Astyanax mexicanus: one gene and its partners. The protein of the gene in region 1 interacts with the protein of each later gene in a pairwise test. Links are inferred from orthologs where the notes say so. Each region holds a gene or a part of one and is shown in the gene's direction. Other genes may lie near its edges. The genes, in order: bhlhe40, stk19 and hivep1.

What was found.
Region 2: the proteins of bhlhe40 (region 1) and stk19 interact in a two-hybrid assay, tested with the Homo sapiens proteins (2 studies listed by BioGRID). The two-hybrid records come from large-scale screens. The link is inferred for Astyanax mexicanus from reciprocal best matches to the Homo sapiens genes BHLHE40 and WHR1.
Region 3: the proteins of bhlhe40 (region 1) and hivep1 interact in a two-hybrid assay, tested with the Homo sapiens proteins (2 studies listed by BioGRID and IntAct). The link is inferred for Astyanax mexicanus from reciprocal best matches to the Homo sapiens genes BHLHE40 and HIVEP1.

What each region holds. Positions count from the first base shown.
Region 1 is NC_064431.1:29,017,228-29,020,984, forward strand, and holds the start of bhlhe40 (class E basic helix-loop-helix protein 40), read left to right. Parts: upstream 1-1,037; 5' UTR 1,038-1,339; coding exon 1,340-1,416; intron 1,417-1,699; coding exon 1,700-1,763; intron 1,764-2,177; coding exon 2,178-2,285; intron 2,286-2,789; coding exon 2,790-2,913; intron 2,914-3,131; coding exon 3,132-3,757. UniProt on the Homo sapiens protein: Transcriptional repressor involved in the regulation of the circadian rhythm by negatively regulating the activity of the clock genes and clock-controlled genes.
Region 2 is NC_064426.1:43,023,901-43,027,657, reverse strand, and holds the start of stk19 (serine/threonine-protein kinase 19), read left to right. Parts: upstream 1-1,185; 5' UTR 1,186-1,395; coding exon 1,396-1,582; intron 1,583-2,889; coding exon 2,890-3,038; intron 3,039-3,757. UniProt on the Homo sapiens protein: DNA-binding protein which is required for efficient transcription-coupled nucleotide excision repair (TC-NER). Acts as part of a TC-NER complex which assembles and interacts with RNA polymerase II (RNAPII) when it stalls at DNA lesions.
Region 3 is NC_064410.1:63,706,481-63,710,237, forward strand, and holds the start of hivep1 (zinc finger protein 40), read left to right. Parts: upstream 1-952; 5' UTR 953-1,033; exon of another isoform or gene 1,034-1,097; intron 1,098-1,309; exon of another isoform or gene 1,310-1,492; intron 1,493-3,757.

The sequences.
Region 1 (3,757 bases):
CGCGAGAGAGACATCCAATCGTCTGTCTGTACTTCTATCCATCCATCTATATCCAACTGTCTGTCAGTCTGTCTGCATACGTTACTACATGCTGTAAATAATACTGCAAATCCTTCTAAGCATTTTATTAAATGTTAGTTATTATTAACTAAAACATTTTATTATAACAATATTTATGTCTGTCTATCTATCGATCTATCTATAATCAAACTGTGTTTATCCAAGTAACCACTATATGCTGTAAATAATGCTGCAAATCATGCTAAGCATATTATTGTTATTGTTGCTATTATAATAAACTAAAAACACATTTTTTATTATTAAAAAAACAAAAAATCTGTCTATCTAACAGTCTATGTATTTATCTGTAATCCAACTGTGTCTGTCTATCTAAGTAAGCCACTATTTGCTGTAAATCATGCTAAATATGCATATTATAATTGTTATTATTATTTTTATTCTTCCGTTTGTCTGTCTGTCTCCATCTATCTATTTTCTGCTGTTCATGATTAAAGTAGCAAAACAAAATACAAAAAAAACACGAAATAATCGCTGCGCGTGTTCTTGTGCGTGTTCTTGTTGTTGTGTAGTAAGCGGCGCTCGCGCGCGCTTGACTCGCTGTGTGAGAGCGAGCGAGCGCGCGATAGCGAGCGAGCGAGAGAGCGCGTGGTGGTACACGCGACACAGGCTGGGGACCTTCTGGAACGTTTTCTTTTTTTCTCTATCCTTTAGCCCCGCCCACCCGTGCCTCTCCGCGCTGCTGATCTGCGATTGGCGGGCTGAACGGACTGAATGGGATTACGCTGGCCAATCGGGAGAAGCTAGGGGCGGGGCGTGCCGAAAAACGGGTGGGAATAACAAAAGAAGTGTCCTGAGAACTGGCGGGGGGAACAGCGCCGTCCAACACGTGAGGCTCATGTGACGGAGGTAGGTCAGTTTAGAGAGAGAGAGAGAGAGAGAGAGAGGGAGGGAGGGATAGAGAGAGAGAGAGAGAGAGAGAGAGAGAGAGAGAGAGAGAGACGTGTCTGTAGTCACAGGGTTTTTTATTTAACACGTAGCTAGTCCAGTTCACCCTCCCACACACATATAGCTCTAGATACAACACACACACTCCTCCTTCATACACACTCTCACACAAACATTTAACAGGAGAGGAGCTTCAAAACTGTCTGAGTTGACGACAAACCACCTTTACGCAAGGACGTTATGCACTTTCCCTGCGGATTTCTTTGAGAACAAGTTCGTTTTTGGCAATTTATGAGCATTTAAAAGCTGTTTCGGCTTCATTTTCGTTAGAAATCGTTTTTTCCTGCGTTATTTTACGCGTAAACGAGACGAAATGGAAAGGATTACAAGCGCACAGCCTCCACCGTGTATGACCAAACACCCCTCTATGGATATTTCAGATATGCCGGGGTAAGTAGCTGGAAATGGGGCAATTTCAGGTCCTCTGAGTAGGAATTCGCCCCTGGATTTCGCTCCAACTGCCTGGGCGGCTCTGCTGCAGCTTGGAGCGAAATCCCGGGACGGATTTGGACTCACAGGCTTTCTAGGCAACTTAAATCATTTTAATCTGTTTTAAAATAGGGAAAAACAAGTCTTATAACATATATTTCTAAAAATACAACTTAATGTCATTTTACTAACTTTTTCTTTATTATTTTCTCATTATTTCTCCCCTTTTCCAAATCTTATTCAGAATGGATTTCCCAATGTATGTGTACAAACCTCGGAGAGGCATGAAACGAGGAGACGACAGCAAGGTAAATACTTAAAAAACAATCAAATATATGGGTGAATATATATATATATATATATATATATATATATTATACACATTGTACACTGCTATTAATTTAGTTAATAATATTCATTAAAACATACAGAAATATTTATAATTGAAGGAATTAAACAAAATAAAATATTAATACATTTGTGCAGCTCACAACATTACACTTGTAGAAAAAAGTTCCTGTATATGCATTTAATGAATGAATGAATTGATTGATTATTTATTTATTTATCTATCTGTCCATGCCCCACGCATGCAAGCTGCACAGCTAGAGCTTATCGTTTTTTAAATGTTTTAAAGTTTTGAATAGTAGTTTAGTAAACTTTTAATTCTAGTTTTAATTTAAACATTATAAAATGAACATGCTCTTGTTTGTTCACCACAGGATACGTACAAGCTGCCACATCGCTTGATTGAAAAGAAGAGACGTGACAGAATAAACGAGTGCATCGCTCAGCTGAAGGATTTGCTCCCTGAACACCTTAAACTCACTGTAAGTATAGCTCTGTGGGAGTGGATTGGAGTGAGTGTGTGGAGCACCAGAGCTCTAAAGCGTCCTCTGGTGGTTGACCTGGAGGAGTTTTCTTATTTTTCACACTTTTATTTTGTGCTGTGACGTGCATTCGAAGCATTTATTGACTTGACTGTTTAGTATACTCATTTGTTATCTATTCGCTTGGCTATTCATTGCGGTTGACTTGCTTGACCGTGATACATTTACAGGATGGTGCATGCACAAGCACAAGTTTTGAGTTTGCATGCTCATGAAGTTTAAAAAAAGTTTAAATATAATTTGTAGAATCTCAACTGAACTAAAACAGTTTGAAATGTTTTTTAACAAGTCTAAGCTTAGGCTTTAGGTTTGTTAGATGTTTTGCAATGCCCGCTGCGTCTCAGTGTCGCTCTCGCCTGGCGGAGAGTTTGTCCTCGGCGAGGCAGCTGAGGGAGCGTTACATAAGAAAGATCAACATGCTTATCTGAGTGCTTCCTCTTTTAGACGCTGGGCCATTTGGAGAAGGCCGTGGTGCTGGAGCTCACGTTAAAGCATGTGAAAGCCCTCAACGGCCTTCTGGAACAGCAGCAGCAGCAGATCATTTCATTGCAGAGCGGAATGCAAATTGGTAAGTTAAAATAAACACTTCATGTAAAGCCGTTTTCCTGCTTTCCTGCTTTCTGAGTAACACGGCGATCTGTTCTCAGAACTTCTGTCACTTGTGTTTGTTCTCTCTTGTGCATGAGTTCACATCAGTCCAATGTTTTTGATGCAACCTGCATCCTGAAATCTTTCTCTCAACTTATTATTAACACATGCTCTACTTTTTTTCTATCTGTTCTGCAGGTGATCAGAGCAATGGCAGCTCAGAAAACAGCGAAGAGATGTTCCGTTCCGGTTTCCATCTCTGTGCCAAGGAGGTACTCCAGTATCTGGCCAGCTTGGAAAGCACACGGGACCTGACCCCAACACACGTTGTCAACCACCTGCACAAAGTGGCTGCTGAGCTCCTGCAGCGTCCAGCCAGCCCCCGCCTGGACACGCCCTCGCCTGGTCGCAAGGGTCAAGAGGCCAGGGAGAAGGCAGCTGCTCCCCAGCCCTGCTCGCCGGAGGGCCACGCCAAAAACTGTGTCCCGGTCATTCAGAGAACGTACAACCCCCAGATCAGCGAACAAAGCGGCAGCGACACAGACACAGACAGCGGCTACGGGGGCGAGCTGGACAAACGAGACTCCAAAGGCCAGAGAATCAGCTACTACAGCAAAGACGCCGCAGAGATGAAGCACGGCCGGTACGGCAGCATCAAGGAGGAGCGAGACGAGCCCCAGGCCAAGCGGGTCAGGTCGGATTCGTCCGAGGACGAGTCTCTGTCGGGTCACGAGTCGCACGGCGGGTACGTGAGCTTCTCGCCCCACCAGCCGCCGCTCTGCATGCCCTTCTACCTCATCCCCCCCACAGCGGCAGCTGCTGCC
Region 2 (3,757 bases), on another chromosome or scaffold:
GCCAGAGCTGGTTTATGGCGAGACTGCCCACTCCCTACCTACCGTTATATCCGTATATTACTGTAAACCGCTAGAGGGAGCCCGCGAGTAAGACCAAAATGAATGGGGGTGAATGGAGCTAAACGGTTAAAACTCTAATTATAAATAGTAATTAATCACTTGGTCAGATACTAATTTGATTTCGGAGAGTAGAATAAAGTATTTTGCTAAAAAAGCAAAGACAACATACCTTTTTTTTTTTCTTTAGTAAACGGATTTTAGTCCGTGAAGGCGCTAGCATTACTGCTATTGTGCGCTGAGGGCTTTTATCTGAAGTTTAAAAGCTTTAAAAAATATGTCTTCAGTACTGAAACATGTAAACTTGTTCTGTTTTGAAAAAAAGAAAAAGAAAATATTCTTTACATGGAAGTTTATTCCCGCCACCTAAAATAAAAAAAAATCCAGGATTTTCTTCTTATGATTAAGTAAATTGCCATCTTATTATTTTGAGATACTAAATCATTATTTTGAAATACTATCTCATTACCTTGATATAATAAGTCATTATTTGATATAGTAAGTCATGATGTTGAGATACTGTTCTCTTGATAACAGTCTCATTATCTCACTGTCTCATTATCTCTTAATAACTCTTGACTTGAGATTGTAAGTCATGATTTTGAGATAGTAAGTCATTATGTTAAGAAACTGTCTCATTATTTTGAGATACTGTCTCATTATTTTGAGAGGCTAAGTCATTGTTTTGAGATACAAATTAATTATGTTTGGATAAAAAGTCGTTATTTTCAGATACTCCCTCATTATTTACAGATAGTATTAAGTCATTCATATTTTGAAAGAAAACAGCGTTTTTCCAAAACCAACACACTTGCTATCTCAAAATAACTTAGTATGACAATTCAATATATCTCAATATCTCAAAATAATGAAATAGTATCTCAAAATAATGACTTACTTTCTCGAAATGATTAGATATCAGTTTACTTAATTATAAGGAAACAAAACCTTTTAGTTGGCCAAAATGGGCTTCGATATATTTTAGTATAAAAATATTAAATATTAATATATTTATTATTATTTTTATTTTGCTCAATCGCTCCATAGGAACCCATTCATTCTGGCCTCACTCCGGAGCGCCCTCCTGTGGTCACACACTTACAACCCATTCTCAAGTGGGCAGTCTCTCTCTATTAGAGACTCTATGGTTCAGTCAGAACCAGCAGAACTCCACTGTTTACCTAAAGCTAGTTTAATAAACTCTTATTTTCTAGCTAATCATTAACCAATAACAGCGTTAAAATCTGCAGTAAATTACCGTGTCCTTCATAATTCAGTGTAAATAAATGAATGTAGTTTATTAACGGAAGTTTCAGGCCGTAGTTTGGTGGTATTTTAATGAACGTGGCGTTAGCATGGTGGCTAACTCCGGTTAATTTACCTCAGTTTTCTCTGCTGCTGTTATTAAACTTCTCCTCCGATATGAACAGAAAAAGATCATTAATCCCGGACGCGTTTAGGGTGAAAAAGCGAAGATTCGGGGCTGATAATATTAACGGGCATCCAGAACACGGAGATACTCAAGGTAAGAAGTTTTATGTTTGGTTCAAGCTTTTTCCTCCCTGATTTAAATAACTAATGTTGTGTTTTAGTGATAAAAATATTTACATGGGAAATATAATGGTGAGTAGTAAGTAAGTAATGATATGTAATGACATTACAAATTACATTACATTACATTTGAGATGTAAGCTATTTTTAAATCATGTTTCTTCCTAACTTTTAATTTTTTGGTGGTACTTTATTCATTATTCTTACATACTAAGTCATTATTCTGAGATACTAAGTCGTTATTCTGAGATACTAAGTCGTTATTTTGAGACACTAAGTCGTTTTTTGAGATACTAAGTCATTAATCTGAGATACTAAGTCATTATTCCAGGATATTAGGTAATTATTGTAAGATTCTAAGTCATTACACGGAGTTGCTTAATCTTCATTTTTGAGACAATGAATCATTATTCTGAGATACTAAGTCGTTCTTTGATACTAAGTTTGTATTCTGAGGTACGATGTGTTTTTATTTTGAGATACTAAGTCATTCTTTGGAGATACCAAGTCATTATTCTGAGATACTAAGTCATTATTATAGGATACTAAGTCATTATTCTGAGATACTTAATCTTAATTTTGAGATACTAAATCATTATTCTGAGATACTAAGTTATTATTCTAAGATATTAGGTAATTATTGTAAGATTCTAAGTCATTACACGGAGTTGCTTAATCTTCATTTTTGAGATAATGAATCATTATTCTGAGATACTAAATTATAATTCTTAGAAACTGAGTACTTATTTTGAGCTAGTAACTCAACAGCAAATAAGTAAAAAATGGATACGTAATGGCATTACAAATTACATTACATTAGATTTGATAACATCATTATATTACATCATGTTTCTTCCTAACTGAGGGAGTTTAGTAAAGAATGTAAGTTTAGTTGTAGTTTGAATTTAGATCACATGGTTAATAACTAGATTTTTAAGTTAGTTATATTGGCAGTGAATGTACTGACAAACCCAGCTCACCTTTATTGTGTCCCAATGTCATAAAAATATAAATATTAAAAAAGCTTACATATCCACAAAGCTAGCTGACATTAGAAAACTATTAGCCAGAAATTAGTGATTGTGTAACTAGCTCAAGCTCAAATAAATATAACCAGAATAACCAACAAAATACAAAACTTTTAAACAATTAACCAAGTTACCATTAGTTTAAATTTACTTAACTTGTCCATCACTACAGAACTCCAAACTTCATGTAGATTCAGATTTTTTGGTATATTTATATATATTTTTAATCTGTTTTCTCTTTTTTTGTGTAAAGCAGATGGACCTCCTGATGTTAAGGCCACACTTCAGTATCTCATGACTCTTTTTCCTCGCAAACTTTTCAACGACAGCCTTCCGCAAATCGTCTTCAAGCACCAGCTCTACAGTTTACACAGCGACAAAACCTTGGTGGACAAGCAAGTGGTAATATTTTTAAAATGTATTTTTAATACATTTTTTTTCTGGGGATCCCATATTACTTACTGAACGTTTTTGTGCTTCCCCTCAACTTGTACAACTAGGTTTTCAGATATTATGCTTATAAAATCAGAATTATTTTCTTAAGGATTATTTATAGACCATTTTTTCTCCTTGTAATATTGTCTTTTGTGTAGTGCTGAAAGATATGGCCAACATTTATATTACAATATATTTTAATATAATATAATAATTTTTATTATATTGTATAAACAGTATAAAAGCAAATGGGTTTAAGAAATCATGCACTAAATCATGCTATAGCTGAATAATATGTCAAAATGTTGTATCATGGTTTTTAAAGATAATCTTATGATGCACAGTTTTAACTCCTGTTCAAACTTTTTTCATGCATAGTATAATATATACTGATTTATGCAAATCAGTTTCTCTGATTTTGCTATTTATAGGTTTATGTTTGAGTAAAATGAACATTGTCGTTTTATTCTATAAACTACAGACAACATTTCTCCCAAATTCCAAATAAAAATATTCTCATTTAGAGCATTTATTTACAGAAAATGAGAAATGACTGAAATAACAAAATAAAAAAACAGAGCTTTCAGACCTCAAATAATGCAAAGAAAACAACAAGTTTATATTCATAAAGTTTTAAGAGTTCAGAAATAATCAATATTTAGAGCAATAACCCTGTTTTTTTGTTT
Region 3 (3,757 bases), on another chromosome or scaffold:
TTTAGTGCAGTCTTTAATAGTGATGATTTGGCAAAATGCCATTTAAACTAAAGTTAGAGACAGTCAAGACAGTCTAGTTAGTTGAAATAATAAATTAAATATGTACATTTTATCTCTACGGTGTAATCAGCTTTATTAAAAATATGTTGCAACTTATCTTTCCAAAAAATCTAAATACCAACATTAAAAAAAAAATAAATACAAATAAATGTCCTGTTCTATGTCTGTTTTATAAATGTTCTATTAAATTTTTAGATTGTTTTTTATTGTTAGACTAACCTTATATTATTATTAGATTTGCATTACTTTATCATTATTTTATCACTAGATTAGTTTTTTCACCGCTATTTTATTGTTAGAATAGTGTTATTTTATCCTTAGATCACTGTTTTTTATTATTAGATTAGTGTTATTTCATTATTATTATTTTATTGATTTATTGTTTGATTATCAGTTTTTATCATATAATTACCGTTTTATATCATTAGATTACTGTTTTTTATTGTTATATTATAATTATTTTATTTTTATAAAAAAAATACATATTTTTGGATTAGCATTATTTTTGCATTATTTTATCGCAAGATCAGCATTATTTTATCGTTAGTTTACCATTTTTTTATTGTTAGATTAGCCTTATTAATTGTTACCATTTTTTATCACTATAGTTATTTTTGCAATATTTTATCGCAAGATTAGCATTATTAAATTATTATATTACCATCTTTGGTACATCTTTGTTTTATATATTATTATTATTATTATTATTATTATTAATTACAGTTCTGTTTTACTTCAGTTTTATAACATTTGCGTTGATTGAAGGATGTGTTTTATCTGTTTGGGGTTAATGTAATGCTGTCGGTGTTGTCGGCCGTCGCGGGCCCCCCCCGCGGTCGCTTCCCCCGGTCAGGGGGCGGAGACGGGACCCCCGCTGACGTCAGAGGGCCTGTCGGTTTCCTGCAATAGAAAGTGAGCGAGGGTAAAAAAAAAAAAACAGAGCTTCCCTGCGCTGGATGTGTTTATGATACAGGTACGTGTTCCCTCAGCGCGCGCGGGCACCTGTACGCACCTGGCGCCTGCGAGCACGCACACAGGTAAACAGGTAAACCGCGAGCTTGTTAGTACGCTAGAGTGACGTAACGCGCCGCCCGTGGTTCGTGGTGCTGGCGGCGGCGGCTCGTGTGTGTTTGTGCGCCCGCTCCGCCGTTGAAAACGCGCAGTGTTTGTTTTACGTTATTAACGCGCGCTTAACGTTTTCCCGGTACCGCGCTCCGGGGGGTTCGGCGGTGGCCAGGTGAGGGCTGGCGCGCGCTCCCGAACCCGGGCCGTGTTTTGTGGCTCACCGGAACGCCTCCGTTTCCTCTGTTTTGGAGTAGACGTCTGCAGCATGTTAATGTGCTCTGTGTGTGTGTGTGTGTAATGTTTATCAAGCCTGCAGCAGAGCTCGCGAGCTGTTGAAGAAGACACCCTGATGACGGTAGATAGATAGGTAAGCTAAGCTCGTGATTAACGCGGAACGCAGCGCGCGGACGGCGTTTATACGTGGTTTTGGTCGGTAGGGAGGAAGCGTGTTTTCGGCGTCCTGTTGCGGAGGACTCGCAGGGGTTTTCCCGGCTCCTCCCTCCACCACCTCCTCCTCCTCCTCCTCCTCCTCTACCGCCGCCGCTGCTCCACCCGGTCATGCCTTTCTGTCTGCATGTATGTTCACTCAGAACGTTTACACTGTTGCAGTAGCGCGAGACACTGTTACAGGGGGTTGCTACGTTGTTGCACTAGCTCGTTACACTGTTAGCAGGGCTTGATACAGTGCTCCAGTGGGTGGAAACATTGTTGCAGGGGGGAGTGTACACTGGGACACTGTTACTCTGGGTGGCTACAGTGTTCCATGGGCTTGATGCACTGTTACAGGGTTTGCTACATTGTTAAATTAGATCAATAAACTGTTACAGGGGTTGCTACATTGTTAAATTAGATCAATAAACTGTTACAGGGTTTGCTACATTGTTAAATTAGATCAATAAACTGTTACAGGGGGTTGCTACATTGTTAAATTAGATCAATAAACTGTTACAGGGGGTTGCTACATTGTTAAATTAGATCAATAAACTGTTACAGGGGGTTGCTACATTGTTAAATTAGATCAATAAACTGTTACAGGGGGTTGTTACATTGTTAAATTAGATCAATAAACTGTTACAGGGGGTTGCTACATTGTTAAATTAGATCAATAAACTGTTACAGGGGGTTGCTACATTGTTAAATTAGATCAATAAACTGTTACAGGGGTTGCTACATTGTTAAATTAGATAAATAAACTGTTACAGGGTTTGCTACATTATTAAATTAGATCAATAAACTGTTACAGGGTTTGCTACATTATTAAATTAGATAAATAAACTGTTACAGGGTTTGCTACATTGTTACACTAGCTCGTTACACTGTTAGCAGGGCTTGATACAGTGCTCCAGTGGGTGGAAACATTGTTGCAGGGGGGAGTGTACACTGGTGCATTGTTACTCTGGGTTGCTACAGTGTTTCATGAGCTTGATACATTGTTACAGGCAGTTGCTACACTGTTGCACTAGCTCAGGACACTGTTAGCAGGGCTTGATACAGTGCTTCAGTGCGTGGAAACATTGTTGCAGGGGCAGTGTACACTGTTACTCTGGGTTGCTACAGTGAGCTTGATACACTGTTACAGGAGTTGCTACATTGTTAAATTAAAGCAACCAATAAACCGATAGCAGGGCCTGATAAAGTGCTCCAGGGGGTTGAAACAATGTTGCAGTAGCTTGATATGTTGTTGCAGACGCATGGTACATTGTTAGAAGGGGTTGCTACATTGTTTCACTTGCTCAGTACACTTTTAGCATGGCTTAATATAGTGCTCCAGTGGAAACACTGTTGCAGGAGCATGGCACGTTGTTGCTCTGAGTTGCTACTGTGTTTCATGGGCTTGATACACTGTTACAGGGGTTGCTATATTGTTACATTAGCTCGCTACACTGTCAGCAGGGTTTGATACAGTGCTACAGGGGGTTGGAACACTGTTGCAGTAGCTTGAAATGTTGTTGCAGGGTCATGCTACACTGTTACAGGGGTGGAAACATTGTTGCAGGGGCTGATGCACTGTTACAGGGGTTGCTACATTGTTACACTAGCTCGATGCTCTATTACTCTGGGTTGAAACACTGTTGCTGAAACTCTATATTAGTGCAGGGGCATGGCACACTTTTACAGAGGTTGCTACATTGTTACACTAGCTTGATAAACTGTTACAGGGTTTGCTACATTGTTGCAGATGCTTTGTACACTGTTACTCTGGGTTGCTACGGTATTCTATGAGCTTTATACATTGTTAAAGGCATTTGCTACAGTGTTATGGGGGTTTATACATTGTTGCAGATGCATGATACACTCTTACAGGTGGTTGATACACTTACCATGGCTCGATGCACAGAAGCTCAATACACTGTAACTTTTGGTTGAAAAACTGTTACAGGGGTTTGCTACATTGTTGCAGATGGCAGATACACTGTCCCCATGGCTTAAAACATTGTTATATGGGTTGCTAAATTGTTACACTAGCTTGATACACTGTTACCAGGGCATTTCTACACTGTTACAGTGGCTTGCTAGCTACATGCCTGGTTCATAGGGCTTGAAACACTGTTACTCTAGGTTGATAAAGTTTAATGCATTGTCTCATGCAGTTGCTACATTGTTACACTAGTCGATATACTGTTACCAGGGC